Linked DNA regions of Rhinolophus ferrumequinum. Each later gene encodes a partner of the first gene's protein in a complex. Links are inferred from orthologs where the notes say so. Each region holds a gene or a part of one and is shown in the gene's direction. Other genes may lie near its edges. The genes, in order: TXNL4A, LSM3, PQBP1 and AAR2.

Region 1 (7,729 bases):
AAGCCCCAAGACCTTTGAATAAATCTTCCTCATTTATTTCTAGCTAAAGCCTCCTGACTCCTTTTGAGTATATCCCATAGAGATAATATGCAGAGTCTGGAGAGTCAACTATAAGCTTTCAGTGGATGCAAGTTACTAATGTTTAAATCTGAGCAATTCAGATATTAATATTTACCTGTCTCTAAAAATGAACAAAATTACACCGAAGAGGGAGAGTGAATTCATAAAACACAGTGAAATTCCTTAAAATCCTATTCCTCACACATCTTCCACTCTTAATATTTGACAGGTGGGTCCAATATACCCCAAATCACCCTCATGTACCAAGACTTGCCTTAAATCAGCACCAGCTGGCTTTTGTTCCCCTCCCTGCCAAACCTGCCCTCTTCTCTCTCCAACCCCTTTCAAAGTCTATTCTCATCTCACCTACAGTAGTTTTCTGTCCCCATCATGAGTATAAAATCAAAAGTGTTTGCTCTCTGTCTCTCACACAGACTCCTGGCCCAAATTGTGCACAAGAGACTCAGAAAAGAGGCTGAAGCCCCTCTGCTTTCTTATCCTTCGCATGATATTATCTTAGCATGGAAAATTATCTGATCAGTACATGACTAGATAAGGGGACCTAAAAGATTCAGCTATGCCAAAGAGTTCGGAGTCCTTGACAATCTGTTTGCTAGTGAGGGATTGATGAAAACTGAACTGTTTTCATCTTTTGTGATGTTTCTTTAGTCACCAGGTATCAACAAGCCCAATATAATTTAAAACCACAATGTGTCTCAGCAAAAACAGGTGCTACACTCCTGAAAAACTAGATTCCTATAAGGGAATAAACTATGAGCTAAAATCTGATGTGAGTGTTAGGCCATATTTAGGCCAGGAACAGGAAGCTTCGTATCTTAAAAGCCATCTCATCCTGCTTTAGGCCTTGTATCTTTCACTAATGTTTGCCTTAGGCCTGGAGAAGCCTCCAGGAAAGCAGAAACCAGCTTATCCTGTCTTGCTTTGAACTCTGGCTCCTAGGGGCTTGTGATCAGTGGGCCTGGGCAGACGGAGGCCTGGGGGCCAGGGTGTGGAGCCAGCAGGAGGGCTAGGTCATGCCCTGAAACCCTTTGCTGCTAGAGACAATGCAACAAAAACCCCCTGAAGCATTGAAGGGGGAACAACTTTGTTTACCCCCACCTATAAAACTCTATACCCCTTTTTGCTGGGGGAGGTTATGATCTTTGCAGCTCAAACATGCCAAATAAATTCTAATAGACCAATTTTGGTCGCTCGCAACTCACTCATTCCGCCAGCCATGCCTAACAGTGAGTACCTGAATTTTACCCATTTAAAGCTTAATCTGCCATTGCCTATAGCTCAGAAAAATAAATACCTGTACAAATTGACCTTTAATTTCTAGCAGAGTCCCTGAAGCCACCTTAAACCTCTCAAACGCGGCAGGAATAAATAATAACAACGTTGGTTTTCCCCTGTTAAATCCTTTAGGATCTTGAAATACGGGTCAGGATGCGTGTCAGGACTTTAACGTGGCTCACCTATCCCAGGTGAGGTCTGGGGTCACAGCCACGCCCACGCGGCAGAGCTCGGTCCAGTCTCCGGCCCACGCCATGACATCCTAGGGGGCACGCTTACAATGAAGTAAGTAGTGCTACATCTGTTGTCCTTGATAACTAAGCGGCCCGTGGTCCCTCTGGGGGCTTATTGATAGGAGGATGTGGAGAAGCCACTATGGCAAAGGGACGTTGAAACTACAAATACTGTGAATTTGTAAGGGCTATTTTGAGAGTTTCCGTTTGGATGAGGGGACTCTTCCTGACCTGAAATCTCTCCAGAAGACCCCTGGGGCATTCCCTCCTGTTTCAGCATCCCTCCTGGACAGTGGTGATAAACCACTGGGAAAAATGGATGGCATCCTGCCTCCCAACACTGTAAGGTTGCAGAATGCAAGATCAGTATACAAACACCAATTGTATTTCTACACACTAGTTATGAATAACCTGAAATTATTTAAAATAATTGCAGAGAAGGGGCAGCCAGTTAGCTCAGTGGGTTACAGTGCGATGCTCATAACACCAGAGTTGCCAGTTCGACTCCCACATGGGCCAGTGTGAGCTGCGCCCTCCACAACTAGACTGAAACAACTACTTGACTTGGAGCTGATGGGTCCTGGAAAAACACACTTAAATAAATAAAAAAGTTTAAAAAATAATAATAATTCCATAGAAAATAAAGACCTAAATAAACAGAAAGACCTCCCGTATCCATGGACTGGAAAACATAATATTAAGACAGCAATACTCCCTAAATTGGAGTACAGATTCAACATTTCCTATCAAAATCCCAGCTGCCTTTTTTGCAGAAATTGACAAACTCATCCTAAAGTTCATATGGAATGCAAAGGACGCAGAAAAGCCAAACCAATCTTGAAAAGGAACAAAACTGGAGGAGTCACTTCCTGATTTCTAGACTTACTACTAACACAGTACGTGAACTTCATTTCTTATAGCATGCATATTGCTTTAATCCAAGCAGGCTTTGTTTATCCTGATAAAACTATGATTCACTTGCATTTAAGCCCTTAGGACACTGGGTTCTGGTCAACACCAAATTCACTTAAGAATAAAGCGTCAGGTCTATCAATCATGACCAAGACACAACCACCAAACCTCCAACTAGAACAAGGTTTGACCCTTGGCCTCAGTTATGCTTCAGCTCTGGACTCATGAAAGCGGATCGGCCCCACAACCGCACCCCCTGCGAACTGGATCAAACAAGGCCATGACTGACACCAGGACCCACAGCCATGACCAACTGCTCTCTGCTTTGGCCCCGACCAATTAGTGGAGCCCACGACCCCCACTCCCATAGAGACCACGATTAATGATTGTTCCCTCCTGTAACCTGGCTGCTAGAGCCATCGGGGAGCCAGGTCTTTGAGAGCAATAGCTCACCCGTGTCTCGGGACTTGGTGCCAATTCCTTAAATACACCTTTTCGTTCTCTGCTGCAAACTTCTGCTCATGTTTTGTTTTGGTTTGGACACAACCCCTGGTGTCAGCGGTAATGCTACGAATTTACATTAATTAAGATAGTGATACTGACATAAGACTACACAGAGAGATAGATGAATAGAATTAACACTACAGAAAAAAATCCTTATAAAGTCAATTGATTTTCAACAATTTGGTTGGGAAATAACCTTTCCAATAAATGGTGTGGGACAACTGGATATCTACGTGCAAAAGAATGAAGCTGGGGGGTGGCCGGTTAGCTCAGTTGGTTAGAGCGTGGTGCTGGTAACACCAAGGTTTCCATTTTGATCCCCACATGTGCCACTGTGAGATGGGCCCTCCTTAAAAAAAAAAAAAATTAAGCTGGACACCTATCTAACAAAATACACAAAAATTAACTTAAAATGGTCACAAACCTAAATATAAGAGTTAAAAGTAAAAAAACTCTTGGAAGGAAACAGGAGTAAACATCATGAACTTCAATTAGGCAATGGTTTCTCAGATATGACACCAAAAGCACAAGCAATAAAAGAAACAAAATACATACATTGGTCTTATTCAAAATTTAAAACTTGTGCTACAAATGACACCAATAAAAAGTGCAAAGTCAATCCACAGAATGGGAGGAACTATTTCCATATTGTGTGTCTGGTAAGAGAAGAGTTGGTTCCACAACTCTGAACAACTTGACCTTAAGTGGGTGACTTTCACATCACAGTCTGTGTGAATGCTGCCTCAACAAAGCTTTTGAACAAAAGACCTACTATCTGAAGACAGACAGTGCTGACGGCTGCAAACGAGGCGAACCAGGCAAACGTAGTGAATGCCACTGAATGCTTCAATGGGATTAGAATGGTCACTTGACATGTACTTCACCACATAGAATGTAGAAACGCTAGTCGCAGTAAATTATTTGGGGGCATTGGAGTCTTGTGCATTAGCTTGGCGTACTTCTGTTAATATACTGCTTTTGACAAGTAAAGCGAACCGTGTTGTAGGGCAGGGGATCCTGCCGACTTCACCATGTGTCATGCAGGGTGTCCTGCGGGGTCTCTGGTCCCGCTCCCCACATAAGAACGCAGGATATGGTGAGGCCAAACAGGAACACCCACGGAGCCATAGGTAGGGCAGTCACACCACTCTACTCTCGCTGGCGGCTGGGTTGGAGACACAGGGACCAGGAGCCACACAATTCTCACCCCTCACTGCGCCGCTTGCAGGCTCAGCCACCATCTTCTTGCTAGCCCCCATTTGCTGCTAGCCTAGCCACGGCAGTTATATTAGTGGCCAATGGCTCACTGGTTACAGCTGACGGCCGTTTGATCACAGTCGATGGCCATTTACTACCTGAGCCAGCACCTTTCTATGTGAGGCCGAGAGCCTGGAAACTGCTTTTTGGGGCTCTGTCCCCACACGTGTTTATGTCTGGAACGGGTGAGCGCCAAAACGACTACTCTGGGGCCTCCGCGTGGGAGTGAAGGGGACACGCCCCGCCGCAGAGGTGCCCACCTCTCGGGGCGGCCCCACCACCGCCCGCGGTCCTCTCCGTCCGCCGCCGCCTCCGCGGGGCTCATGGAGTCCTCTCAGTTCAGCGCCGCCTCCCGCCGGTCGCGGGGATGTCGCGGGGAAGCCCGGGCTCTCTGACGCTCTCACCGGACAGACAACAGGTCTCACAACCCACCGCAGCCATCCCTCGCAGCAAAACTCGCTGCAACCACCAGAACCCAGCGCGAGGCCTCCCAGCTGCGGACACGCGCACGCACGACGGGCACGCACGGCGGACGCACGCTCGGCAGACACGCGCACGTGCACGTCAGGGCACGTTAGTGCGCGTCCGCGCCGGGGGTGACCGCTTCGCGGGAGGTGCGTGTGAGCCGAGGTGCAGGGAGCGGGATTCCGCGGGAAGTGGGTTCGGCGGGGATCGGGGCCCGACGGGGAGTTGGGCTGGGCGTGTGGGCCGGGCCGGGCCGGGCGGAGAGCGGGGCCCGGCGTGGGATCGGGGCCCGGCGGGGAGCGGGGTCCTGGTCTGTGGGGAGCGGCGCGGCAGCCCCCGCCAGCGCCGCGCGCTGTGGCTGAGGCGGAAGAAGCTCGTCCACCGAGTTCCTCTCGCGCAGGGGCCAGTTCAGTCGCCAGGATGTCGTACATGCTCCCGCACTTGCACAACGGCTGGCAGGTGGATCAGGCCATCCTTTCGGAAGAAGACCGAGTGGTCGTCATTCGGTTTGGACACGATTGGGACCCCACGTGCATGAAAATGGACGAGGTTCTGTACAGCATAGCGGAAAAGGTAACGCAGCCCCATAGCTTCACGTTGCGATCCACCGTCCGCTTTGCCAGTTGGCGGGAAAATTTTAAAGTGAGGTTAAAAACTGCATTCTATGTTTATTCTTAAGGCCTTAATTTCTAATGTGCGGCACAGCCTCCAAATAAAGGGAAGACGCAGGATTAACACACGGACAGATTTTTACCTTGTGAGGTGAGGATGTGCTCCCTGAAATCGTACGTAATAGCACATGTCTTTTTCTGGGAAAAGTTTCCATACATTTTCAAATTTTAAAGAGGTTCGTGATCCCTCTCCTGAAATAAGTTAATAAATCCTAGGGATAGGATATTTTCAGACTATACATCTGTAGCACCATGAACAAAACACATTTGCAGACTTTGGCAAGGGCGTTGGAGCTTATTTTAAATAGCTTAGTTTAAAAGGATTGTCCTTTTTGGGGGACTGTGTTTATTTGTTGAATTTATAAAGCAGAACTCTTATGTTAATAGCATAATAAATCCTGTTCTTTTTCTTTTTGTCGTTTTTCTTTTCTTTACCCCACCATGCTCTTTGTAAGTCACTAGATTTATAGCTTAGAGTGATTTAAATGAAGGGCCTGGTAGAAGAAAGTAGAATTGTGCTTTGTTACAGCTAGTTTTCCTAATTTTTAATATTAGTACACTGGTTTGTCTGTGGCACTTATGGGATGACAATAAAAGTGCAATTGTAGGGCACTATTGTATAACCAGACATGTAATTCTTTTGTTTATAATTTCCTTGTGGCGATTTTAAGTTAGCTTTGATTTGTATTTTTGCAATTGTTGCAAGAGGACAAAAGGCAAATATATTGGGGTTTTCATGAAATAATTAACTTATTAATATTCTATAAATGATTTGAGAGGACATTCATTTTAATGAACAGTAAAAGTGGAAACACTGAAGACATCTTTCATGGGAATAGGAGATGCTAAAATAAGCTGGGTTAAAATAACACCTTTGAGTGAATAGTATCAGATGTAAGGATATATTTTGAATTTAAGAAAGGAAAAGCTATCTGACCTGCCATTGCTAATTTTTACTGTCTCATGTTTGGTAGAAGAGTGAGGTGTGGGTGGTGCGTTGTGCAGCTTCCATGTCAGTCGTCATAGGTACCACTGGCACTACTTACCAAAGGGCATAATAGTGATTCTGAATCTGTAGGTCTGGGGTGAGGTCCCGAAACTGTGTCATTAAGAAGTTCCCTTGGGAACTGTGATGTGACTCTCAGAAACCCCTCAACAGAGGTCAGGGTTATCATAGGAGTGCTGCGTCTGTCAGCGATCCCCTCCTCTTCCTCTTGGACACCAAGACATTGAGGAGCTTGAGGAGGTGCCTGGGGAGCTCTGGAGAGGGCTGTTGGCTTACACTAGGGGGCCTCCCAGTTGGGGTCAGAGGTCATGAGTCAGGTGGTACCAGGGAGTCATTTATTCATTGTTCAAGCTGTAGAGGTCAAGGGCAGCTACTGCTGACTTCAGTGAAGACGACCAAGCACTTCTCCAATAAGCAAATCATTAGCTTGTTGACTTTGAAATAACTCAGGGTGTGTGTTCTCGATTCTGCCTCACAGGTGGCGGCATAACCTCCAGGTGATGTCCGATCCTGCTGCCCTCAGCACGAGGCCAGGATGGCTGGAGACCTGAGGGTTGGTTGGCTCTTCCTGTCTGAGCAAAACTCAGCAAGATGCTCTTAGCTAGGAGGCATATTTTGTGAGTTAACGTAAGTGTTCAGGGACTTTCACCAGAGTTGTTCTTTCCTAATTCCTTTCTGTCAGTTACAGACTGAGGTTACAGCCGTGTCAGTAGTAAACACATTCTTTTTTTTGTTTTGTTTTGAACCTGTTGATCAGGACAGTTTTAATTGGGCTCACTTTGAATATTTTTGTTTGGTCTTGAAGTTTCTCTTTTTCTTTTGTCCAAAAATTTGGGTTTTTATTTTAATAAACTTTTAATACTGTATTATAATATGCAGTTCAAAGTGCAAACTTGAAGTGCATTCCAAGACTATTAATGTTTTATTTTCTTCTTAGTATAAGGGCAAAATAAGACTATAATTCTGGAAGCTCTCTCTGGAGAAGCTCAACAGGAATTTTTGAAATCGAAGGCTTTAGTGTAAAGAACAATTTAACTCTGTTTAAAAATCTCCCTCTGCAGAAATGGCAGACAATGGGGGATCCTCCTCACCTTGTCACGAGCCCTGTTTGGATATCCCAGCTGTTCTGAAGTGAGTAAAAGTTCAGTGTTGAGGCCGAACCTGATGTTTCTCCTGGAATGTGGTGTATTGAACCTGACCTGCCAGGGCTGGCTGGACTCATTTGAGCTGTCCTGAGACGGAGGTTGCTTCCAGACTTAACAGATGTCTGGAGGTTGGTGGAGTGATAGAAACAAATAAAGCCTGTTTAGCAGCTTTTTTTATGC
Region 2 (7,460 bases), on another chromosome or scaffold:
TTGTGTACACTGTTGGTGGGATTGCAAACTGGTACAGCCACTATGGAAAATGGTTTTGGAGGTTCCGTAAACAATTAAAAATAGAACTACCATATGACCCAGCAATTCCACTTCTGGGTATTTATCTGAAGAAATCCAAAACACTAATTCCAAAAGATATATGCACCCCTGTGTTCACTGCAGCATTACTAGTAATAGCCAAGATATGGAAGCAACCCAAGTGCCCATCAATAGGCAACTGGATAAAGAAGAGTGGTACATATATACAATGGAATATTACTCAGCCATAAAAAGGAATAAAATGTTACCATTTGCAACAACATGGATGGATCTAGAAGGTATAATGCTAAATGAAATAAGTCAAACAGAGGAAGACAAATACGTATGATCTCACTTATCTGTGCAATCTAAAGAACAAAATAAACAAACAAAACAGAAATAAACTCTTAACTACTGACAACTGATGATTCACAGGTGGAAGGGGGGGTGGGGGAATGGGTGAAAAGGATGAAAGGATTAAGAAGTACAAATTGGTTGTTACGAAATAGTCAAGGGGATGTAAACTACAGCAGAGGGAATATAGTCAACAATATTGTAATAACTATGTATAGTGCCTGGTGGGTACTAGACTAACTGGGGGATCACTGCATAAATTATATAAATGTCTAACCATTATTATGTACACCTGAAACTAACGAAATAATATTGAATGTCAACTGTAACTAAAAAATTAAATAATTAAAAAAAGAAAAATCAGAATGTCCAACCATGAGATAATCATTAAATCAGTACAGTCACACAATGAAATATAACTCAGTCATCTTTTAAGACAAAGGAAAAAGATCTAGGATAAAATGCTAAGCATGCAAAGTGGTTTTTACAGTGTTTTCTACTATACACAAGAACACAGACTAGAAGGAAATATACCACTGTTTAGTGGTGGTTATTTCTGGATGATGGAAATATAGACTTTTTTTTCTTTATTCTTTGCTGTGTTTTTTGTCCCAGAGAATCTAGAGGCTATTTTCTAGGATTCTCCAAGATCTAGGGCTATCTAACATGGCTAACCAGCTGCTCTGAATTCAATGCGGTTATTTCAGTAGGGCAGGAATTACTACTGTGGTTTGCTTGGCCATCCACTGAAATTTAATAAGAACACCTGCTTAAACCTGCCAGTAGCATCTCATAGCACTTAAAATAAAATACAAACTAAGGGCCCTGCCCACCTCTCTCAACTCAATTCCTGCCACTCGCCCCCTCACTCACTCACTGTGTCAAGCCAACTGGCCAAGCTCATTCCCTCCTAAGACTCTTTAAATGTACTGTTCCCTCTGCTGAGAACTCTTTTCCCCCAGAACCTCCTATGAATGGTGCCTTCAGGACATTCAGTAACTGGCTCAAACTGTCACCTCCTCAGAGGCCTTCCCTGATCATTGATTCTTAGCTGCGTCTTCCCCACCTCCGTGTCAGTTTTATTACAGTAATCTGTTTTACTTTCTTCATAGCTCTTATCACCATGTGAATTTATTTTTAATTTATTGTCTGTTCTATGTACCTACCTCTCTCCAAAGATTATAAGGACCACGAGAGCAGGGACCTTGCGGTCTTGTTCACTACTATCATTTCATTGCATGCACTAAGGTGATGTCAAAACCTACACTGTTGCGCTGTTAGAAACAAGTCACCAAATTAGTATCACCCGCAGCTCAAACTACATTTGTTCCTCCACCAAAGCACAACAAAGATTCTAACTCTTCAGATCTTGGAAGCTGCCCTGAGAACTTAATTACTCTGGTTGTCAGAGTTTGAGTGAAGCTTAGGTGCATCCTGACATCCATTTAGCCTGAACTGATATGAACTAGCCCAACTGATTACCTAACATGGACCATGCCAGGAACTTTACATACTATCTCACTGAAAAATCACAACCACCCTGCAAGGTAGGATTATGTTTCACAGATCAAGTTTCGAATGGCTCAATTATCTGTCCAGGATAATTTACCCAAGTGCACATAACAACTGAGCGCTGGAGCTATACCAAACTGGTGCCCAGGTGAAGTGTTTAGCTAGAAGGAATGCTACCCAAGCAGGTGGCATTTCCATCAGATTAAAACTTTTAATTTTTGAATTGCCACATATTCAGACAAAATAGATTCCTTCTGACTAGAATACTAACCCCCTTTCACGGCCTCTTGCTGAAATATTATCCATCCCTAAAGTTACAGATCAAACCTAGCTCCTCCAGAGAGCATTTCCCAAGCTCTCCAGCCAAACTTGATTATTTCTTCAGAAGCCACAAAGCCCTGTACCTTCTCCCACAATATCACACTCTGCCTTGGATAATTTTTGTAAATGTCAACACTACTATATTCTAAGCTCCTTCAAATCTCTGTCTCCCACGTTACCTAGCTCATGTACAGCACCAACCAGATACTCAAAAAATATTCAAAGGTCATTTTAATGAGTAAATGAACTAAATGAAACTCATAGTATTAGTGCGAAGTAAATCACCTTTTAAGTTTAGAAATTGCTATCTTTTGACTATTTCCTAATGGATGATTGCCTTGTCATATGTACAGAATCACAGAATCATTGAATCTAGTGTCATAGGAGGCCCTGTTGGTTACCCAGTCTAATCTACTACCCAATTATTTCAGGAACCCCCAAAATCCCTCCACAGCAAGTATTTTACAATTACTTAAAATACTTATTGAGCACTTAGTATATGCTGGGGGGAGACGAGAGGATACATCAAAAAAAATAAGATGCGTTCATGAAGCTTAAATTCTATTAAGATGGGTGATTAAAAAGGAAGCAAAGAAATTAACAAGATCATTACAGATTGTGACAGAAGCTGTGAGGGCCTCTGTGATACAGAGCACCTGGTGAAGGACACCTTAGGGCACAATAGAAGAATCAGCCACAGCCAAGAACCATGGAAGAACATTCTAGGCAGAAAGAACATCAAACACAAAGGTTCAATGTGAGAACATGGCATGCGTGAGGAACAGAAAGGAGACCAATAAGGAGAGTATCTGGCAAACAAAAGAGGGGTAGGAGACAAAAAGGAGGAAGCAACAGCCAAATCCTGTAGGATCTTGTAGGCCATGATGAGGGATTTGGATTTTATGCCACGAGCAATGGGACACCACAGAGGGTTTGAAGGAGGAGCATGGAAGGATCTGATTTTGGTTTTGAAAGATCACTTGGGCTGCTGGGTGGAGAATTATTGCAGGGGAAGGAAGGGAAGACCAATAAAAAGGTAACTGCAGTCGTTCAAGTTTCAAGTAATGGTGGCTTGGGCAGGGGCTGTGGCCTTGGAAATAAAGAGAAGTGAAGAGATGTGCTATACTTCTGAGGATGAACTGACAGGACTTGCTGAAGGATTGGACGGATGTGCTCGTGTATGGAAAAGGAGGGGTTGGTTTGTTTAAACAAGTGGGGGAAGGATCATTTACTGAGATGGGAAAAAGTGGGGAAGAGGCAGGTTGAAAGGGGAAAATCAAGAGTCTTGCTTTGCACATGACAAACATAAGAAGCCTATTCGATATCCACGTGAAGTCGGGTTGGATCCAAATCTGGAACTCTGGGGTGAGATTTAGCTGAAGATACTATTCTGGGAGTCAGCACACCACAAACTACGTTCTGTTCTTCTACGGACACAAAACAAGTACAATGTCTTTTCCCTGTTTAGCCCTTCGCATCTACCAGGAGGTTGGACTTTATCCTGTGGGCCACAGGGAGCAGGAAAGAGGCGACGCAGGGGAGCTCCAGGTCAAGTTGGGCTCCAGGGGAACCGCTCAGGGTGCGTCACTCCTCGAGTGAGAACAAAGGCACAGCGACGGGGAGGACCGGGGCAGCGGCACAAACGCCAGCTTCCCTTGGCCACCGTCAAGTGGTCTTCTCAGCGCAGACCGGCGCGGAACAGTCTCCGCCCCCCACCTCCAGGAAGCTGGCTCCCCCACTCCCCGCACCCGGGCCTGCTTCCGGATCTCTTTCAGCATCTCTCCCTAAACACGGCTCGGCCTCGCTCTCACCCTCCTCCTTCTCCTGCCGCCCAGCCGTGCTCTTGCCCTTGGCCTTCTGGCTGCGCAGTTCGCGTCCCCGCAGCTCCCTGCCGGCTGCGCGACTCCGAGCCATCTACCCCGGGGAGGGCTCGCTTCGCGAGTGACGCACCAAACCGCGGGAAGCTGCACCCGCGTGGTCTACACCCCAAGGCGGGGAGAGGCATGACCACGCCCCTCCTTTATGGACCAAGCACACGCCCCCAGAGGAAGCGCCGTCCCAGTCCCAAGTGACAAATGCAAACTGCAGGAAGCAAGAAGACGCAAAACAAATTTTTTTCTACTTCCGGTGCATTGCGTCCTCGTGTTTCCGGAGACTGGAGGGGCGTGATATCGCGAGAGGCGAGAAAAGGCGCAGGGTTTGAAACATGGCGGACGACGTGGACCAGGTGAGTGTCCCCTGAGGAACTCACTCCAGAGCGGCTTCCCCACTCCGCGCCCTGGCCCTGTTCGGCTTTGCATACCCGGCTGCTTTCTTCAAGTTCACGGGACGGTGTCCTATCATGTCGCCTCTTTCCGGGTCGTCACGGCCTTTAATTTTGCCTCAGGCTCTGAGATCTTTTCTACTTCCAAATCCGCCAGAAAACTAAGTTACCCCTCCCGCTCCTCACTTCCTTTCTCTTGAGTCTCACCTTTATCCATAGAATGGCAGTAATTGTCCCTGCCTGCCTCGCAGAGCTGTCGGGATTCTGATAGAAAGCGCGGTAATTATCGCGCAACAATTACTTGACCGCAACAATGATTACTCATTCAATAAACATGTAGTGAACATCAACTCTGTATGGTTTACACACCGTTCTAAGCACCAGAGTCACAGGGATTGACATACGTGATCCCTGTCTCCACTTGGAGCTTATATTGCGAGGGAGGACAGATAAATACGTGTGATATATAGGAACTGGGATGTGGAAACGAGCAAGGAACTGGTATACAGAATAACTGCTGGTCCTACAGGCTTTCTCACCTGCTCTTCCTTCTTCCCAAAATGCTCTTCCTCAGATATCGTTGTGATCAGGCCGCAACTTCTCAAGCTTTCTACTGAAGCCTCGCTTCATCAAAGAGGACTTCTCTGGCCAGCTACATAAAATAGCACTCTCCCGAGTTTGTTTTATTTTTCTTCATAGCATGTTATGTGTTCATATTAAGTATATGCTGCTTTGTTTAATGTCTGTGTCCCCCAACTAAAATGTGAATTTCTTACGAGGAGTTTTGTGTACTATTCTGCCCTGGGTGGATTTAGAACAGTGCTGGAACCACTCGGCAGATATTTAGGTATTGAGGGAATGAATTGGATGATCAGGGAGGCCTCTTTGAAAAGGCAATGTTTAAAGCTGAATAGGATGAAAAAAGCAGACAGAGAGCATTCAGGACCCAGGCTAAAGGAGCAGTAGGCCTCTGTCAGCGTGTATATTCTTACAGTATTGTAATGATTTATATGCTTCTCCCAAATAGAATGAGCTGCTTTGAGGGCAGAGGCTGACTTCTGTATCATTGTAGTCTAGTAGTTGGTTACCTGGTCCTTAACAAACAGCTGTTGAACTGAGGTTGGGGACCAGTTGAGGACAGGACTTTTTCCCTTGAACGCACGCTGCAGGACTCCAAAGCCAGTGCTTTCAGCCAGTATTCTGTACTGCCTGCTGAGTATACTCATCTTATTGGCCAGTCGGCACCCTAAACTCAGCGTGCCCTGTACTGAACTCATTTTCCTTCACATTTTCATCTCTGCTTAGCGTTCTGACTTGTGTAGTAGTCATTAAGTCAGTGTTATTCAGATTACTAAATGATATTTGAGATAAGGCTAACGTCCCTGAGAGTGACTCCCTATGTCCTGAAGTTGTGTCAAGCAGCTTGGATTTTGAGGGAACAAAGTATAGTCATGATTATTTTGCTGTATAACTCCTTCCTGTGTATGTTTCTTTCAGTTCTCGTTTATATAGCGCTTACTATGCGCCAGGTACTGTTCTAAGCCTTCACATATGTCACTTAAGCCTCACAACAATGGTATTAAGTAGGCACTGTTATCCACATTTTACTGGATAGACGACTAAGGAAAGCATAGAGGGGTTAAGTTACTTGCTCACAGTCAATGCAGCGTAGCAATGATTCAAACACTACACTCTCTCTAGTACTATATTACTAAGCTTGTTTTTTTAATCAGCAACAAACTACCAACACCGTAGAAGAACCCCTGGATCTCATCAGGCTCAGCCTGGATGAGCGAATTTATGTGAAAATGAGAAATGACAGAGAGCTTCGAGGTAGATTACATGTAAGTAAATCTATTAAATTACCTTGAAATCAGGTTATTTCCTTGTTTTCCCTCCCTACTCCCACGCCTTTGAAATGTAAAAACTCTCAACTGTGGAACAGTGTTTGGAATGCAGAGAGGAAGGTGGCAGCTACCCATATTTCTATAACACAAATACAACTCTATTTTATTCATATTTTAACATTTTTTTCTCTTACCAGAAATAATGTGTTTATTAAAGAACATTTTCATTTCTTTCATATTTTACCCTTCTATTTATTTGCAGATAACATTTATTCTCCATTCTTATTTAAGTGTTTTTTTAATTACTGACATATGCATAATTTGTATTTTCTTGTGAAAAAACTTAAATAGCACAGAAATACATGCCGTAAAAGGTGAAATCCCATTTCTTCTACTGGTAACCACTGTTAAAAATTGGGTCTATGGTTTTTAAGGTATTTTCTGTATATTTACACGTATGTATTTATAATACGTGTCCATATGCATATATTTGCACTATACCACCACTAAAATAAATGGGATCTTGCTATACATATTTTTGGGCACTTTTCTTTTTCACTGAATCTTGGAAATCATTGATCATGAGTGCATATAGATCTTCTCTATTCTTTTTAATTACTACATAGAATTCTTTATATGGTAATAGTGATATTTAGATTGTTTTCCATTTTTTTGTTACTATAAATAATACTGCAGTAAGCATTTTAATACATATTTAATACATATTTCTTTGTGTGCATCTGCAAATATTTCTATAGGATTGGTCCTTTAAAGTAGTCCTATTTATTCATAAAAAGAGTAATTGAAGGTTTTGCCTCTTCTTGATAACATGTTGCTTTCCAGAGTGTGTTGTTTTTATTACTGCCATTCTACCCTAAAGAGGTTAAAAATAATTAAAGTTTATTGAGCATTAATTATATGTCAGGTACTAGTCTAAGTGTTTTGTATGTAATACACATCTCTTTTGATCTTTATAACAACCCTCTGTGGGTAGATACTAAATATCCCTGTTTTATAGTTGAAGAAGCTCAGCCTCAGAAACGTGAAGTCATCTGTGTAAGGTGACAGTCAGAAAAGTCAGGGCCAGAAGATGAACCTAGGCAGTCTGACTTCAGCCTCACTCC
Region 3 (7,721 bases), on another chromosome or scaffold:
CAATGGGGGCTTTGGGGGGAGGAATTAGGGGTGCGACATGCAGAACCACCCTGTCCACCCCAGCAATCCTTGTGTTCCCTCATTTCTTTCCCAAGCCTGTGCCTCTGTCTGCTTATGATTCATCACTTGGCCCTCAGACACACTTATTCATGTACCTATTCTCATCCTGATTCATTCCCTTTCCTGCTCATTCATCCCACATTTACTAGAGCCCACTCTCTGTGGGACTCCAAATCCTAGGGCTTCTGAGTCCCTGACGAGGGCTCTGCCCCTTGTCTTAAGGAGAGGCTCCCATAGCTGGCTCAAGGAGTACATCCATAGGCGTTTCAAGACTGGCTTTAAATACTCATCAGGGTGCCAAAGGAAGGGGCTGGGGTGAGAGCTTGTTACATTATGAATGTGGGGCTGGGGTGCCCTGAGTGAAGGGGACCCGTCCATCAGGGCAGCTGGGGTGCCCCACGCCCACCCTGGGACAAGGGAGCGGAGAGAGCAGAGAGGCCCTCTCCGGGGGGTCCCAGGGCCAAGTGGGAGCCAGCCCTCCCTTCGAGGTAGATCATCGGGGAGGGAACCTAGGAGGCGCTCCCATGATGGTGGCGACAGGCGGTCACTTCTTCAGTGGTACTGCTGATAGCTGGGGTAGCCTGGGGCCTGGGTACTCTCCTTAGGGGGCAGCTGGCTGGGGTCCTCCAGGAACGGGGGTGCTGGAAAGGGAAGAATCAGGTACAGGTGAGCAGAGGTGGCTAGGCAGAGCATTTCCCACTTCTCCCTGACCCGCGTGGCCAGGTACTCACCATTGCGGAACTGCTGGGCAGTGTAGCGAGTGAGGAGGATGCCGACACCCTCGATGAGCGCCAACAGGATGCCCCCCATCATTGCTGAGCCCACCATGGCCAATGGGCCACCTGGAGGAGTGAGGAGGCAGGGGGAGAGGTGAGGGCCAGCAGAACAGGGTGGAGGGGGCTGGGGCCAGGGCTGGGGGTACTCACTGCGGGCAGCCAGCACAGCCCCGGTCAACGCTCCACTGGTGATAGAGTTCCAGGGATCTTCTTTGCCCCGCAGCCGCACCAGGCCGCAATCGATGGTGGAGAACAGGCCCCCCCACACCGCAAAGCTACCTACAGGGGGACAGAGGCCTAATTAGTGTCCTAGGGAAATCCCAAGAATCCACAGCTCAGAGACTGGGGACTCCCCAGGCCTGAAGGCTATGGCAAAAAAAAAAAAAAAAAAAAAAGGGAGAAAAACCAGATGCAAAGGGAGAGAGCGAACTCCTAGGGGATACTCCCCACATCTGTCCCTATGGTAGCTCCTCTTCAAGCTGTCTCTTCTCCTTCACAGGGAGGTGACAAGTGTTTATAAGCACATTTACCTTCCATATGGCTTTTAACTTTGATCTTCATAACCACCACATAGAGTTGGAGTTCTGATCTTGGTTTCAGCAAGAAGGTAACAGGTTAGGAAAGCCAGTTAACAATATGATAGTTAAACTGTTTACTGAGGCCTTACTTACTGTGTGCCAGGACCTGACCTAGGCACTGCTTGTTATTTGACTTCTGAAATTTTAAATTAGTTACTATTATTAAAGTGCTTAGCAGAGCAACTGGCACTCAGTAAGTGCTACGTAAATTACATCCATTACAAAATGACTGGGGTGGTTACTGCTATCGTCATTCCCGTTAGAGATGAGGTTTGGAGAGATTAGAGCCCAAGGTCACAAATCAGGGAAGAGCCCGAGTCTAGACTTAAAACTCCAGAACTCAGCGATATTAAATTGTTGGGAAACATTACTCCCCCAGGAAGTCCCAGGCGGAGTTGGGGCTCAAACCCGGACCCCCAACTTGTGGTCTAGACCCAAAGGAGCGACCACTGCCAACTTTGCCATCACATCTCCTGTCTCCCCAAGCTTCTCACCTCCAATCTGGGGGGCTCGGATCCTCACAGCGTTGACACTACCTCTCAATCGGTGCTGAATTCCCTAGGGAAGGTGAGGAGGAAGGGTGTCAGAGGAGGGCTGAGGCCACTGGCAGACGGGGCTTTTAGCTTTGCAGAGGAAAGGGGGTGGGAGTCCTGTTAGGAGTATCAGAGGTAGAGATGTAGAGCAGTGGCCAAGAACTAGGGGGCTGGTTAGTACCCCAACCTAGGTGTTCTCAGAGCTGGGTTGAGTTTCCATCCATCGATGACTGAGCACCTATGGGCCAGGTACCATGCTGCATGCAGGGACGCAGCATTGAACAAGGCAGACCTGGCCCCTGCCCTCTCAGAATTCCCATTACAGTGGGAGACACAAATCCTGAGTAAGGGTACAGATAAACAAGACAACTTCAGACGGCAATACATACCCTAGAGGAAATAGGATGAAGAGATATGATAGCAGCTGAGGGGTAAGGAAAGACCTCTTTAATGAGGGATCATTTGTGCTGAGACCTTGAGGATGAGAGAAACTTGGGCAAAGATCCAGGAAAGAGTTGTCGGAGTTGAGGGGAGGGACAGGGCCAGATATATAAATTGCAGAGACCCTGGCAAATGGATGGCATTCAAAGTATGACACTTGCTGAGCTCTCCCAGGAGGGCGTGTCAGAGAAAGAGACAGAACTGATTATGTTAAATTAAAAGCATTTTCTTAACTTTAAGGCTGTCCTCCTTCTGCCAATTATACTGTTACTTCCCTCTATCCAGGTTTCTGACCCAGAATCTGCCTATAGGTAAAATTCGTCTAGCTTTACACACACATATATGATTTGGTGATATGGATGGAAAGGGATCTCTGAAATAAATCTAATGGAACGTAACCTCACTGGGTGATCTGACTGATCAGGACTATAGCTTCCCTAGTAAAAGGTTATCTCTGCATTAAGCAAGCGCTGTCCGTTGTTTATCTAGGATAACACACCTTTGAAATGTGTCTTTTTCAGACCCCTGAGGAAGTGTAACCACCCACAAGAGAATAATCTTGTTAACTATCCTGTAATCCAATCATAGAGATTTCCCTGCCTTGCTTTCTCCCACATTCATGTAATCCTTATGTTCCCCACTAATTCCAAATGTATAAAATTGCAAACTGTCATTCTGGGAAGCATTTTTCTGTCTGTTGAGATCTTGCTTCCAGACGTATTCTCTGTTGGGCTCAAATAAACTCTTATACATTTTTTTCTACGGGTTTGGACATTCTTACGTCGACAGTGATGACTGTTTTCACAGCACAGCATTTCCAGAGGCGCTCCAGTTGAGGGGTGAGGGACAGTGGCCATGTTTGCAGTTCCCCAAAACCCCAGATCCGGGAGCCAGGCCAGGCACATAGTACGTGAGCAGGCACCAGAATGATTAAGTGTATGTGACTGGCAGCTCCCAGCAGTTTTCAGAGCAGTACCCTGTGCTGGCAGGGCAGGATCCCCACACCACCCAGAGAAGGCCAGGACTCACGACAGGGGCATTTCTGAAGCCCTTGATGGCCTGGAAGACTCCACCACCGATGACACCCATAGTGAAGGCTCCACCGCAGTCATCGACAATTCGCCATGGGCTGCAAGTGTGAAGGGGAGGATGGGGTTAATGTGAGCCCTCCTATGCTACGTCACGTGGATTCTTTCAACTGGGAGAAACCAAGTCACCCAAATGGGAAGTAGCACTTCAGAGAACAGATTATCCCCCCCCCATTTAAGCAAGAAATAGGGCAAAAAGGGAAAAATTAGTCTTTGCCCTCTCCGCCCCTTCCCTTTGCAGCCAACCAAGGAATCAGCCAACCACTTTACTATCAAAGATTAAATGAATTGATACACGTAGAGTTGGCACTTTATAATAATCCCTACAGAAGTGTTAACTCGCTAGTACTATTAAAGCAGGACGGGTCGCAACCCCCCTTCTCCGACAACTAACACGTCGAAGCAAGCCCCGCCCGCTTCCCTCTCTTAACCACGCACAAATGGGAAAAACCAAGAGCAGACTGTGGGGAGGATCCAGCACCTCCTCCTTGCTCACAATAGGCTCATCCAGGCCCCGCCCCCCTCACTAAAGGGACCTGGGAAAAACCACGCATGGTAGCTCTGGGGATTTCCGCTCACAGCTTATCACCCCCGCGGCGGAAATGGATTCGACCAGTGTGTCTATTTTCGTTAACAAAGGCGCTGAGAGATACGGACACGGGAAACGTGGAGTTGTTCTCCAGGCACACGGTTGTGGTCCCTCTTAACGGAGCCCAAGTGGGAGGGAACAAATGGAGGAGAGAAGGAGACAACTAAACGTCTCCCGATTCTGGGCCGTGGCGCTCTGGGGCCGGTGCCTCCCCCGCCCGCCTCCCACAGCTGGCCGTGATGCCGCAGCGACACTCCCGAGGCCTGTGGCCATCGCCGTACCAGGGCTCCCGAGCGTACTCCTCCATGGCGCCAGCGTCCGGCCCGTGCAATCTGCCTAAACCCAGGCTAGGCCACGCCCACGCCGTAAACGCACACAGAGCCGAGCTTTCCACCTATCCCAAAACCAGATTGGATTGCTGCGCCGTAGGTCAGGCCAATGACGCACTCTCATTGGCTACCCAGGTTGCATCATCTGTTCACCGCGGCGTACTCTCCCAGGTAGTTCAAGTCTCAGGGAGAGAGTAGCTGTTTCTGTTCTTTGGGAGAAGCGAATAGTGACGTCCTGGTGATCGGAGCAGCGAGGACAGTGAGGCGGCCAGTCTGACAGCCTTCTGCTACCCGCGTGACTGTATTGGTAATTTCCGGGAGCATGCATTTTTTTGGAGCTGAGGGAGGTGCTCTACTGTGCACCCCCATCCCAGCGTTTTGGTTCCGCCCACCCAGCAGTCTTTGGGGGATGTTGGGTGCACCCATTTCTGGGGCGCAGGGAAGCCGCTTTCGGCTCCTTCGGCAGTGGTTGGAATCTGGGCCTGGGAGAGGAACTGGGTTGTGGAGCATCGGTCCTGGAGAGGAGGGTTGGTGAGGGTTTTGGTGATTTTTCTACCTGTCTCTTCCACCTTTTAGCACAGCTTCCTTCTGCCCAGCTACTAATGGAGGTGGGGAGGTGGGAGTCCAGATGAGTACATGCTGCCGGGACGCGCTTGGTTATAGAATCCAGATTCGAATTTTCACCTGAGCTGTTTTAGTCTTGTCCTTCCGTCCCTAGGTCTGTTTGTTACTCACTATGCCGCTGCCCGTTGCGCTGCAGACCCGGTTGGCCAAGAGAGGCATTCTCAAACATCTGGAGCCCGGTGAGAGAGCTAAAGAGCAGATGCCAGGCTTGACAGACACTTTGTTGTTGATACTGCCACTTGATAGCCAGCATGGGCCCACTGTGCACCAAGCAGTGGAGGGGGGGCGGGGAGGAGGGCGCGGGGGAGATAGACATCTCATCCTTAATATTGACAAGTAGGCCCCACATACCTATTTGGGCCTACTGCATGCCAGGTTCAATCTATCCATCAATCCATGAAGTGATTACAAAGTGTCTAATAGTAAGGATAGCTGTCACCTACTACAGGCCTCTGTGCACTGAGGACAGTGGCCGGATGTCGATAATGTGTTCTTTACCATACTGATAGATAACATTTTTCAGACCTACTGTGGTGCCAGATATTATGCTGGTGATATATATGTTATTGTTCACCATATCAATAGCTGGCATGTATTTTGGCGTACACCTTATGGTTAACAGTATAAAATAATGATAGGATCTATCATTTAGGCCTACTTGCTGCTGCTGCTGCTATTTATACTTTATTGTCAATGATAGTAAAATCTGGCATCTATTTGGGGCTATAGTGTGCCAGGAAAATACATCTTATTTCCACCTTAATGAATAGTGACATTATAAACCTAATGTGTGCTGGGCAGAGATCTTGTGGTTAATGTTACTAATGATTATTGATATTTAAGCCTATTGGGTGCTAGGCCCTGTGCTGATGGTATTTATCTTATTAACAATACCGATGAATTTGTACACCTGAAATCTACGTAACTTTACTAACAATTGTCACCCCAATAAACTTTAATTAAGAAAAAAACATACTGATGATTATAGCTGACCTCTTTGGGGCCTACAGTATGAATGCTGTTGCTGACATATAAATTTCAGTGTTAGTTATACCCACAGCTGAAATCTGTGATAGGCCTCCTGAGAGGGCCGGGTACTGAGCTGACAATATACACCTTTTTTGTTCTATTGATATTAACCGACCACTGTATGCGTCAGGCCTCGGGAACTGAATGGATTCAGAGTGGTGTTGGGATAAATTCCTTGCTATCCAAATTCTTGTTACTCAAAATACAAGAGTCCGAAACCCTGCATTTGCCAAGCTTGGGAGCTTCCGGACTTACTTCAGATAAACCCCTTGCTGTTGAAACTCATTTTATCCAAATAGATTTGGATAGTGTGCTGTTCCGTACTCCCTGAACTCAGGAACTGAATGACTATGGATCCATGTTTTGATGAATCCCTATCTAAACCTTTCAACTAGATAGACTTGGGTAACAGTATATCGTATCTGAACCCAGGAACGGGACAGATTTAGGTGCACATTAAGTCTACTGTTCAGATGCTTGGACTTGGAATGTGAGCAGCATGTGCCACGGCCAGTGAGACGTGGCACACACACGCGTGTCCGTGTGAATGTGCACATCTTTCCAGACAAGAACGGTAGGATGAGAGTCCCCGACCCTTACTGCTGTTGTCCTCTCCGTCCTGGCAGAACCAGAGGAAGAGATCATTGCCGAGGACTATGACGACGACCCCGTGGACTACGAGGCCACGCGGCTGGAAGGCCTGCCACCAAGTTGGTATAAGGTGTTCGACCCTTCCTGGTGAGCTCGGGGACCTGGGGGAGAGGAGCAGCTAACTTCTCACTTCCCCTTTCCTGTGCTGCCTCTGGCACTGGGGTAAATGAAAGGGCACGGGAAGATATCTGGGGGTCCTCCCTGGGGGGTCCTGACATGGGGCAGATATAGGCGGAGATTGGGGAGCAGGAGTTGAGGAGACCAGGAGAGGATATCTGTGCTGACACTCCTTCCCTCCTCACTGCCAAGCAGCGGGCTCCCTTACTACTGGAATGTGGACACAGACCTCGTGTCCTGGCTCTCCCCACATGATCCCAACTCCGTCGTGACCAAATCTTCCAAGAAGCTCAGGAGCAGTAATGCAGGTGAGTGGGCAGGCCCGAGGGTGCCTCGAGTGCTTCCAGCAGTTCTCAGAGAGGGCTCAGTAAATGACAATGGATCCAGAGGGGCAGGTGGGACTGGCAGGCCCAGCCCCAAGCAGGAGAGGCTGTTAAAAGCAGAAGTTAACTGGGTCCTGGGATGGGACAAGGAAGGTCACTTCAAGGTTCTTATGTCCCCAGATGCTGAGGAGAAGTTGGACCGGAGCCATGAGAAATTGGACAGGAGCCACGAGAAGTCGGACCGGAGCCACGAGAAGTCGGACCGGGGCCACGAGAAGTCGGACCGGAGCCACGAGAAGTCTGACAGAGACCGAGAACGTGGCTATGACAAGGTGGACAGAGAGCGAGAGCGGGACCGGGAGCGGGACCGAGACCGCGGGTATGACAAGGTGGACCGGGAGGAGGGCAAAGATCGGCGCCACCATCGCCGGGAGGACCTGGCTCCCTACCCCAAGAGCAAGAAGGGTAAGCTGAGCAGGGCCGGGACTGGGCTGAGGCAGTAAGGCGGGGGGCGCATGGCATATGCAAGCCCTCACTTCCTTTTATGCAAGTGCCTGAATCTGCAGGGCCTGGTGGAAGGTGC
Region 4 (7,992 bases), on another chromosome or scaffold:
CCCATCCCAAGGGAGGTGATGCTCCGGCCACTGTAACGGATGGTGGCTTTAACCTGGATGTCTGAAAATCCCCAGCTCTTTTCCTTTACCACGCCTGTATTCTGTCTGAATCATTCTCTTCTTCCTGGGCCAAAGCAGCCACGGTAGAGACCGTGAACACAGGGTAAACCCTAACAGGTCAAAAGTGTATTCCCGAAGGCTTTACCTCCCCTAGAACAAGCTGTGGATGAAAGGTGGTGCTGCTCAAGTCTCTATCGATGTAGAAGACCCTGGCTTTGGAGACCTCCCCTTCAGTCAGCCTCTGAGCTCGGAGTCTGTGCCCTCAGAGTCCCAGAAATTGCCTCGAGACCACAGAAACCCTTGGAAACACCCTATGAAAAGCTTGGCATTGATCTCGGGCACACAGGGGCTTTCCCAGGCTTTCCTGCCACAGGCTGCTTCCCTGAGCTCAGTGAGTCTCCTGTGAGCAAGGATGTCCCCACTGCATTTTAATTTCTCAGTCCCATCTCACCTCCCCAGTCCTGCTTCTAAAGCAGTCAATAAAGTCATTCAACAACTACTGAGTACCTACTGATGCCAGGCACTCTTCTTGGACTAAAGGAGAGAGTGGGGGGGCGGGGGAGGGAGGGCCCTGGGAAGCCCCTGAGCAAGCGTTATATCTCCAACCATGGCTGCCCCCTCTGAGCGCATCTCCACATTCTCTCCCGATTCTGGGACTTTGCCCAGGGATGTCCTCTAGAGGGCGCAGGCTTGCTGATCAGTAACCCCGAGGCTCTGCATGCTTAGCTGTTTAGCTGGTGCTCACCTGAGGCAGGACAAGGATAGTATGCGTCTGTGGGCCACATGGGATGGAGAGGGCAGAGAGCCCTGAACCTGGGCATCAGATGGCAGAGTCTCCGCATCCCCCACCCCCACCCCCACCGCTACCCGCAGCAGGTCGGTCGTCCTCTCCAACTCCCCCCCAAATGTGACAGCACACTTTCTATGCAGCAGGTTCTTTTTACAATCCTGGTAAAGAAGCCACAGAACCTCCTTCTTGCCCTTCTCAACCTGAGAGCTTCCACTCTTTCTGGGTCAAGAGCCGGAGTGGCTTCACCCTCTCTGGGCTACCCAGAATTTGGCTCAGGCACCCCTGTCTTTGCTGGAACCAGGCATCTGAACACACTGGACATCCTTCAGAGGGAGAATATTTTTTTCTGGGTTCTACACCTGCCTGCAGACCCGGGGTGTGTGGCTTCAGTGCAGGGATGAAGTGACCCGGCATAGCTCGTGGGCCAGCCAGGGTTGGTGGCAATCTCCGTCCCACAGATGTTCTGACTTTCCTTCCATGGAGAGGCAGGCAGCGCCACCAGGGAGGAGGGGAGCTGCAAAACTGAAATCTAGGACACTGTTTCTCCCCATCCTCCTCTTCATGGAATATAGACATTTGTCTTGTCTGTCTTCAACCTACTTTTCTTTTTTATATTTCTCATCCTTTCTGTGCTGCCTTTCCACCCAGGAGCCCATGTAGCATAGTGGAAAAAGTCCCAGAGGGCAGTCAGGAGTTCTGGGCGGCCATTCTGGCTTAGCCCCTAACTCACCCTGTGACATTGAGCTAGTCCTGTGCCTCATCTGGGGCCTCTGTTTCCCCACTTGTGAAATGAAGAAGATAAACCAGATGCTCTCCAGGGTCTTTTCCCCCCTCTGCCATCCTACAGATTTTCATTTTATTTTGCTTTCTCAGAATCTTTTCAATCTGAGGGTACAGGAAGTGCCAGGACCTGTCTCAGTTTTTGAATCCTGCAAGCACATTCCAAGACTGGCCTGAAATTGCATGAGCAACATCACTCCAATTTTTTTTTTTTCCAAAAGCTCCTTACCAACCAACTGAGATGCTGTCCTGTTCCTTTTTATTCACACCCCTCTCTCCTCTCTGGTCCCCGCGCTCCCCCACCTCAGTGCTCCGTGCTGTATGCGTGTGCTCTCTGTTCTTGTATACTCAATAAAAGTGAAATAAATGTGTTTGATGCTGAACCACAACTGCCTTGGCGCACATCTCTCTCCCCACACCTCCCCTCTCTCTCTCTCTCTCTCTCTCTCTCTCTCTCTCTCTCTCTCCATCTTTCACTACCAGTACAAGTTCGCATTTTGAGTAGAGCTGAAACTGGAGTGCAGAGATCCCAACCTAGAACACTTTCATTCAAGAAATGTTTGTAGCTCCCAGTGTGGTCCAGTGCTTGCAGTAGGCTTTGCAGGTGCAACAGCAAATAAGACAAAGTCCTCGTCCTCCAGGAACCCAGAGGCTGGTGGAGGAAACAGACAACACAACAGGCAGGCAGAGACAATACCCGAGTGAGGCATGGGCACCAGGAAGGAAATGCACATGGGGGGATGGTCACTGAAGGAGACCATCTTCAATAAGGTGGCCAATTACAGGCTCCCTAGGGAGGTTATATTTGTGAGCTGAATGAAGAGAAATATCCAGGAAGGTGAAGAACTTGGGCAAGAGCCTTCTAGGCGGAAGGAACAGTAAGCATGCGGGGGTGCCCCAGGACACGGGGGCTCGGTGTGTGCAGGAACAGCAGTCTCTCTCCTCCCTGAAAGAAGAGCACCTACCGCAGGGGCTCTTCCTGCACCCCTGCTCCATGGGAGCCTAGCGGATAATGTATACAGCCACCCTCCCTCAACTCCAGCCTTGGCCCACTGCCTTCACACGTGTTGCCGTATCCCCATATGTGCCACCTGGCTTGTTACTGACTTATCATTTTTCTTTAAATTGTGTAAAAAAAAATGTTTATTTAAAAAAGAAACTATATTACTTCCACAAATGGAAAACTATTGTCATTTGCCAAAGAAAGGAGGTCTTCATAAAAAGAAATGCAAAAATATTAAAAGTAATCCATGTAAAACTTAAACTCACCCCTTGGACTACCTGAGGTGCACGCACCAGCACTTTCCTTTTTATTCCACTAAGCAACTCACACCAGACTGCCTTTCTTTATTGCCCAAAATTTCACAAGCAAGAACACCGGTAATCATTTGGTGCATTTTCTTCCAGACTTTTTCCACGTCCAAGTATTTTTTCCAGATTTGAAGTTACCTTGTACATACCATTCTAAATACTTTTTAAAACTTAAATCCCGAGCACTTCACTGTAATTTCAAATACTAATACTATTTCTTCATTAAATTATACAGAATGCTATGCAGTGAAAAGCAATTCTTCAACCCTCTACAGACTCCTGTCTTGCCAAAGGCAATTCCTTCCAGGAGCTTTGTTACTCCTTCTCTGAATTTCCCCAGGTTTCCTTTAGCTATCTGTCACACTTGGGGTTCTGCAATAGGATTTGGTTTGCAAACATTGGGTCCCCACACGTCTTGGATCTGTATCTCTCTCTCCCATAAATACAGAGCCAGCCTCTGTGCTGCCTGGGAGTAAACTGTGTGTTTCATCTGTATCAGTGGTTCTTAACATGGGTGGGGGTGTGTGTGTTTTACCCCCCAGGGAACATTTAGCAATATCTGGAGACATTTTTGGTTGACACACTGAGGGGTGCTACTGGCATCTGCTGGGTAGAGGCCAGGGGTGCTGCTAAACATCCTACAATCACAGGACAACCCCCATAACAAAGAATTATCTGGCCCCAAATATCAGTAGTACCAAGGTTGAGAAACCTAATCTGGATGGACATAGGACCCACAAAGTGGGGTTTCCGGGACACCATCCACAGCTTCCATGCCCATAGTATAGTACCCTGGAGTCTCTGAGATGATGGCGAGCCTGGCTGGAACAGAGAGGTCTGACAACCAGACCAGAGAGCTCAGCACCTAAGACTGGGAATAGGGAGGGGCGAGGAGAGAGCTGAGCTTCTTCATGCCGGAAGTGGACCTGACACAACAGGCTGAGATTGGCGTCCATGACTGTAACTAATGGAAGCCATCTCTGGTTAATCCTGCAGCAGCTCATTGTGATTAACCATGACCGCAGGGTCCAGTCTGGTCTATACCCACTAAGAGATGAATTTTGACTGAGACAGATTGGCGTGTCCAGCTGTCACTGAGGAAGTATGACACACAAGCTAAGGAGTAGCAGCACAAGGACGAGACCTGGGTTTGCACCCTAGCTCCACCACTCTGACTGTGTAACCTCTCTGAGCCTCAGTTTTCTCTTCTGTAAGTTGGGAATACTAATACCTGCTTATTAGGGTATTGTAAGGTTTAGAAATCATATGCGAATGGCCTGCCCTGTGGATTTTGGACTTACGCAGCCAGCCCTCACCATCACATGAGTCAATTCCTTGCAATAAGTCTCATAATATATATCACCTATTGGCTCTGCTTCTTTGGTTGGACCCTGAGTGGTACAGCCACTCAGCACAGGGCGAGGCCCCAAAATAGAAGCCATTTATTAATACCAAATTACTGTCATTAATTAAATGCATAATATATATACTGAGCTGAACCTTTGTGCCTATTTTGTGCTAGGTTCCGGGGAAACAGTAGAGAACAAGACAGGCAGGTAACCACCCTCAGGGCACCGATATAGCCTGACTGAGTTATCAGCTAGGTCTGTCCTGCCAGAGGATATTGGGTGATTACGGATGGAGAGATTGACACGGTGACTACTATGGCTGAGACTGGTTCTCTCTAGTTTGGGAGCTGGGTTTCTAAGGCTCTCTCTTAGTCCTGAGTGTGGTTGGAAGCTGAGACTGGGTGATAATAAGCCAGCTGTGACACTGTCACTCAGGTAGAGATTGGCTGACCAGGACCATGACTGAGCATCTGACTGTGGCTACTGAGCAGCCATGACCTTGACCCCAGCTTCAGTGACCAGGACTGAGATCAAAGGACCATGGCTGGTGGATGTGTTTCTGGAGCGGGATATAAAAATGCACAGTTTGACGAAAGTTGTCATCCACGGCTCAGGAGCTAAAACGAGTTAACGAAAAGCAAAAGGTTTTATGAGGCGGAATCTGCAGGCGCGGACCGTTCCTTCCGTGACCAAGAGCTCTGCCGGGCCGCTTTTCCCGTGGCGCTTGTCCTACGCCTAAGCGGTACAACTTCCGGGGCGTTTCCGCTGTGTCTGCGCGGGGAGTGAGACCGAGGCTGGTGAGTGCGGTGGTTTAACTCCTCTGCTTCGTTGTCATTTGGCGGGGCCACCCCTCTGTCCCGCTCCGGATCACGGAGTGCCCTGAACTAGGGCGTCTCGCTGGGACAGCCGCGTCCCGATCTGTGGGCCAGTGGTGGGACGCCGATGTCTCTGCAGGCCTGTGCCCGAGAAACCGTCGCCAGTACTTCCTAGAGCACCCGGCGTAACTTCCCTTTTTTCTTAACTTTAGAACTTGGGGGCCCGACACATTGGCTACGTCCGACGTGATTCGGTCCGATTCTCTGTAACTTAGGTAAGGTCTTTCTCCGAACTGAGCCTTTGTTTCTCAACTGCAAAACGGATATCATGTTTTTATTATTAAAGCGTCTAATATGTGCTAGAGGTACAAAAAGACTGAGGTCTCATGGAGGTGACTGACAGCCCTCTATTAAATGTAGGCAAAATTGCAACCTTGATAAGTGAAATGAAAAGGCACAAGACGCCATGAGTGGATCACACAGGAAACCTGATCTAGCCCAGCGTCAAGGAAGCTTGACCGAGGAGGGAATATTGAGATCAGAAAACCGATTTGACAGAGAGGGGAACGAAGAGTTCTCTCTCCAGAGGAGCCTCCCGTTTGAGTGTCTGAAAAAGATGTGACTGGAACAGAGGGCTTGGTGGGGGATCGTGTTCTGAAACAAGCGTAAGGAGTTGCCAGGAAGCAGACCATGCACGCCTTGGAGGTCATGGTAAGAATTTTGGTTCTCCAAGAGCCACATGGGAAGCCACTCACAGGGTATTAAGTGTGGGTGGTGACATGCTTAGATTGGCATTTTGTAAAGCTCACTCTGGCTGTTGGATGGAGAATGGATTGGAGGGGCAAGCACTCTGGGTGAGGGATGTGGTAGCTTAGATTAAGGAGGTGGTGGAGAGAATTGGGTAGATGTGACTTTCTGCATTCCAGGGCTGCTTCTCTGTGCCAGGACATGTGTCAGCTGCTGAAGATATAATGACTAGTACAGGCTGGTGGAATTAGAACAAGAGGAATGTCATTATCAAGGAGGAGCATACAGGTGCCACTACTGTAAGGGAAAGTAGCTAATCGATGAGCACTTACTCTAAAAGCAGGAGCTGTTCATTTAGCAAATATTTATTTAAGTACCTTTTGAAATCAGGTTTGGGAATAGGAAGATGATGATATATAAATTATTTAGAACAGTGACTTTCAGACTTTTTTGACTGTGACCGATGGGAACAAATACACTTTACGTTGCAACCAAAAGGACGTACAAACCCACAAAGCTTCAAAAAACAGTGATTTATACTACACCCGCTGCGCTTTGATTTTTTTTAAAATTCTGTTCTTTTTGTTTTAAAAAAATTAATGCTGGTTGAGACTCTCTAAATTGATTTCTTGACCCATTAATGAGGTGTGACATGAAGTCTGAAAAAAAAATGCTGATGTAGAATGAGAGTCATTTGTAGTGTTTTTTAAGTTAAGACGGTAAAATAGGCCCTTAACATTTTTGGAAAAGGGTTAGTCTTCTGTTCCTCACTGTTTTGTTTGTTTAAAAGAAAAAGTAAAGAGAATTAAACAGGCAGTTGGTTCTTCTGTTTATGAAATTTTGGGCTCTTGTTCGTATGTCTGGCTAGATTGGAAGTACCTACAGGACAGTGACCGTCTTCCACTGGATGTTTTATTAAGTGCCTGGTAAAGATCCTGGCACAGTGCAGGCATTTAGTGATTATTTGTTAAACTGAATAGGTAGGTGTCTTAGGACTAGAAGGTTAGATGATTGTTTGGTTTAAGTTAGTTCATGTTGGAACCAGTCTTATAAATAAATACCACGCAGGCAGTGTTTGTCTGCCTACAGAATTTTTACAGTGTGTCCTCATGGGTTGTCCAGAGGTAGGTAAAATAAATGTTCTGAGCTCTTTCTCTTCTAAATACTGGTCCTAGGCCAGCCATGCCACCTGAATCCATTCTGGGCTAGTGGTCCAGAGCTGCCACTGACTAGGCCCTTTGAGAAGTTGTTTCACTCCTTGGACTTTAGGTTTTTATGCATAAAAGGAGAAGGGGAGGTTTGTGGTTAACAGACTCTTCACCTCCCCGATCTAGTGTGAATTTTAGATGCTGAGCATCCACTTTCCACCTCTGTCCATTTCTGGGCCTTCCCTGAGGTTTGTGGGAAACTGGGTGTATGCTTGATTTAATCATCCTTTTCAACTCCTGGGTTTCTCCAGCAATAGGTTAGGCAGAGTTATAGGTTAGAATGGACCATCCAGGCTTTCTCCACCTTCATCTTCTGTTGGGAGAGTGATCTGAGAGCAGATCCTAAGTGGACAATGAACAGAACACTGGCCTGGAGGGCAGGGTACCCAGGTTCTAATTTGTGTGACGTTGAACATGTCACTTCTCTTTCATGCCTTTGCAGTTATAAAGTGAGTGTTCTTGCTCATTAAACCAAAACACGAAAATCCTCTTCTCTCTTTCTCATTTTTCTCATGTATAAAGCTGATGTAGGGTTGTGTGAGGAGATAACTTCTGGGAGATAATTATGTCAGGAGTCTAATTCAGTATCTGACACATAGAGAATGCTCAGCAAATGAAGTATGCTTCCCCAACTTCTGATGAACTCTGATTTCTTTCTTTTTTCAGCTATTCTGAAAGACAAGAAGGGTTCTCCTTTTGGTCACCCACCACTGGTCCATGGCTGCTACGCAGATGGATCCTGAACTTGCCAAGCACCTCTTCTTTGAAGGGGCCACTGTGGTCATCTTGAATATGCCCAAGGGGACAGAGTTTGGCATTGACTACAACTCCTGGGAGGTGGGGCCCAAGTTCCGGGGTGTGAAAATGATCCCACCAGGCATCCACTTCCTTCACTACAGCTCTGTGGACAAGGCCTACCCCAGGGAGGTGGG

The links.
Region 2: TXNL4A (region 1) and LSM3 share a complex: the UniProt entries of both Homo sapiens proteins name them as parts of the precatalytic spliceosome. The link is inferred for Rhinolophus ferrumequinum from reciprocal best matches to the Homo sapiens genes TXNL4A and LSM3.
Region 3: the proteins of TXNL4A (region 1) and PQBP1 are in contact, whole or in part, in a crystal structure (PDB 4BWQ), measured with the Homo sapiens proteins. The link is inferred for Rhinolophus ferrumequinum from reciprocal best matches to the Homo sapiens genes TXNL4A and PQBP1. Residues at the interface, in NP_006692.1 of Homo sapiens: Gly11, Trp12, Val14, Asp15, Ile18, Asp68, Phe69, Met72, Tyr73, Glu74, Met82, Phe84, Asn87, His89, Met91, Gly97, Asn98, Asn99, Asn100, Lys101, Leu129; in NP_001027553.1 of Homo sapiens: Gln241, Gln242, Arg243, Pro244, Tyr245, Pro246, Ser247, Pro248, Gly249, Val251, Leu252, Ala254, Asn255.
Region 4: TXNL4A (region 1) and AAR2 share a complex: the UniProt entries of both Homo sapiens proteins name them as parts of the U5 snRNP complex. The link is inferred for Rhinolophus ferrumequinum from reciprocal best matches to the Homo sapiens genes TXNL4A and AAR2.

Annotation. Positions count from the first base shown.
Region 1 is NC_046302.1:60,340,739-60,348,467, reverse strand, and holds the start of TXNL4A (thioredoxin-like protein 4A), read left to right. Parts: upstream 1-4,599; 5' UTR 4,600-4,629; coding exon 4,630-4,876; exon of another isoform or gene 4,877-4,918; intron 4,919-5,127; coding exon 5,128-5,300; intron 5,301-6,882; exon of another isoform or gene 6,883-7,031; intron 7,032-7,465; exon of another isoform or gene 7,466-7,535; intron 7,536-7,729. UniProt on the Homo sapiens protein: Plays a role in pre-mRNA splicing as component of the U5 snRNP and U4/U6-U5 tri-snRNP complexes that are involved in spliceosome assembly, and as component of the precatalytic spliceosome (spliceosome B complex).
Region 2 is NC_046300.1:40,459,627-40,467,086, forward strand, and holds the start of LSM3 (U6 snRNA-associated Sm-like protein LSm3), read left to right. Parts: upstream 1-4,336; 5' UTR 4,337-4,432; coding exon 4,433-4,453; intron 4,454-6,222; coding exon 6,223-6,333; intron 6,334-7,460. Other genes in the region: XPC (DNA repair protein complementing XP-C cells), read right to left, coding at 4,038-4,140. UniProt on the Homo sapiens protein: Plays a role in pre-mRNA splicing as component of the U4/U6-U5 tri-snRNP complex that is involved in spliceosome assembly, and as component of the precatalytic spliceosome (spliceosome B complex).
Region 3 is NC_046284.1:85,759,081-85,766,801, reverse strand, and holds the start of PQBP1 (polyglutamine-binding protein 1), read left to right. Parts: upstream 1-4,564; 5' UTR 4,565-4,701; intron 4,702-4,769; exon of another isoform or gene 4,770-4,925; intron 4,926-5,112; 5' UTR 5,113-5,130; coding exon 5,131-5,197; intron 5,198-6,673; coding exon 6,674-6,785; intron 6,786-7,007; coding exon 7,008-7,123; intron 7,124-7,318; coding exon 7,319-7,603; intron 7,604-7,721. Other genes in the region: TIMM17B (mitochondrial import inner membrane translocase subunit Tim17-B), read right to left, coding at 613-701, 792-902, 987-1,115, 1,909-1,972, 3,418-3,517, 4,347-4,372. UniProt on the Homo sapiens protein: Intrinsically disordered protein that acts as a scaffold, and which is involved in different processes, such as pre-mRNA splicing, transcription regulation, innate immunity and neuron development.
Region 4 is NC_046306.1:19,429,940-19,437,931, reverse strand, and holds the start of AAR2 (protein AAR2 homolog), read left to right. Parts: upstream 1-4,951; 5' UTR 4,952-5,087; exon of another isoform or gene 5,088-5,380; intron 5,381-5,525; exon of another isoform or gene 5,526-5,816; intron 5,817-7,726; 5' UTR 7,727-7,777; coding exon 7,778-7,992. UniProt on the Homo sapiens protein: Component of the U5 snRNP complex that is required for spliceosome assembly and for pre-mRNA splicing.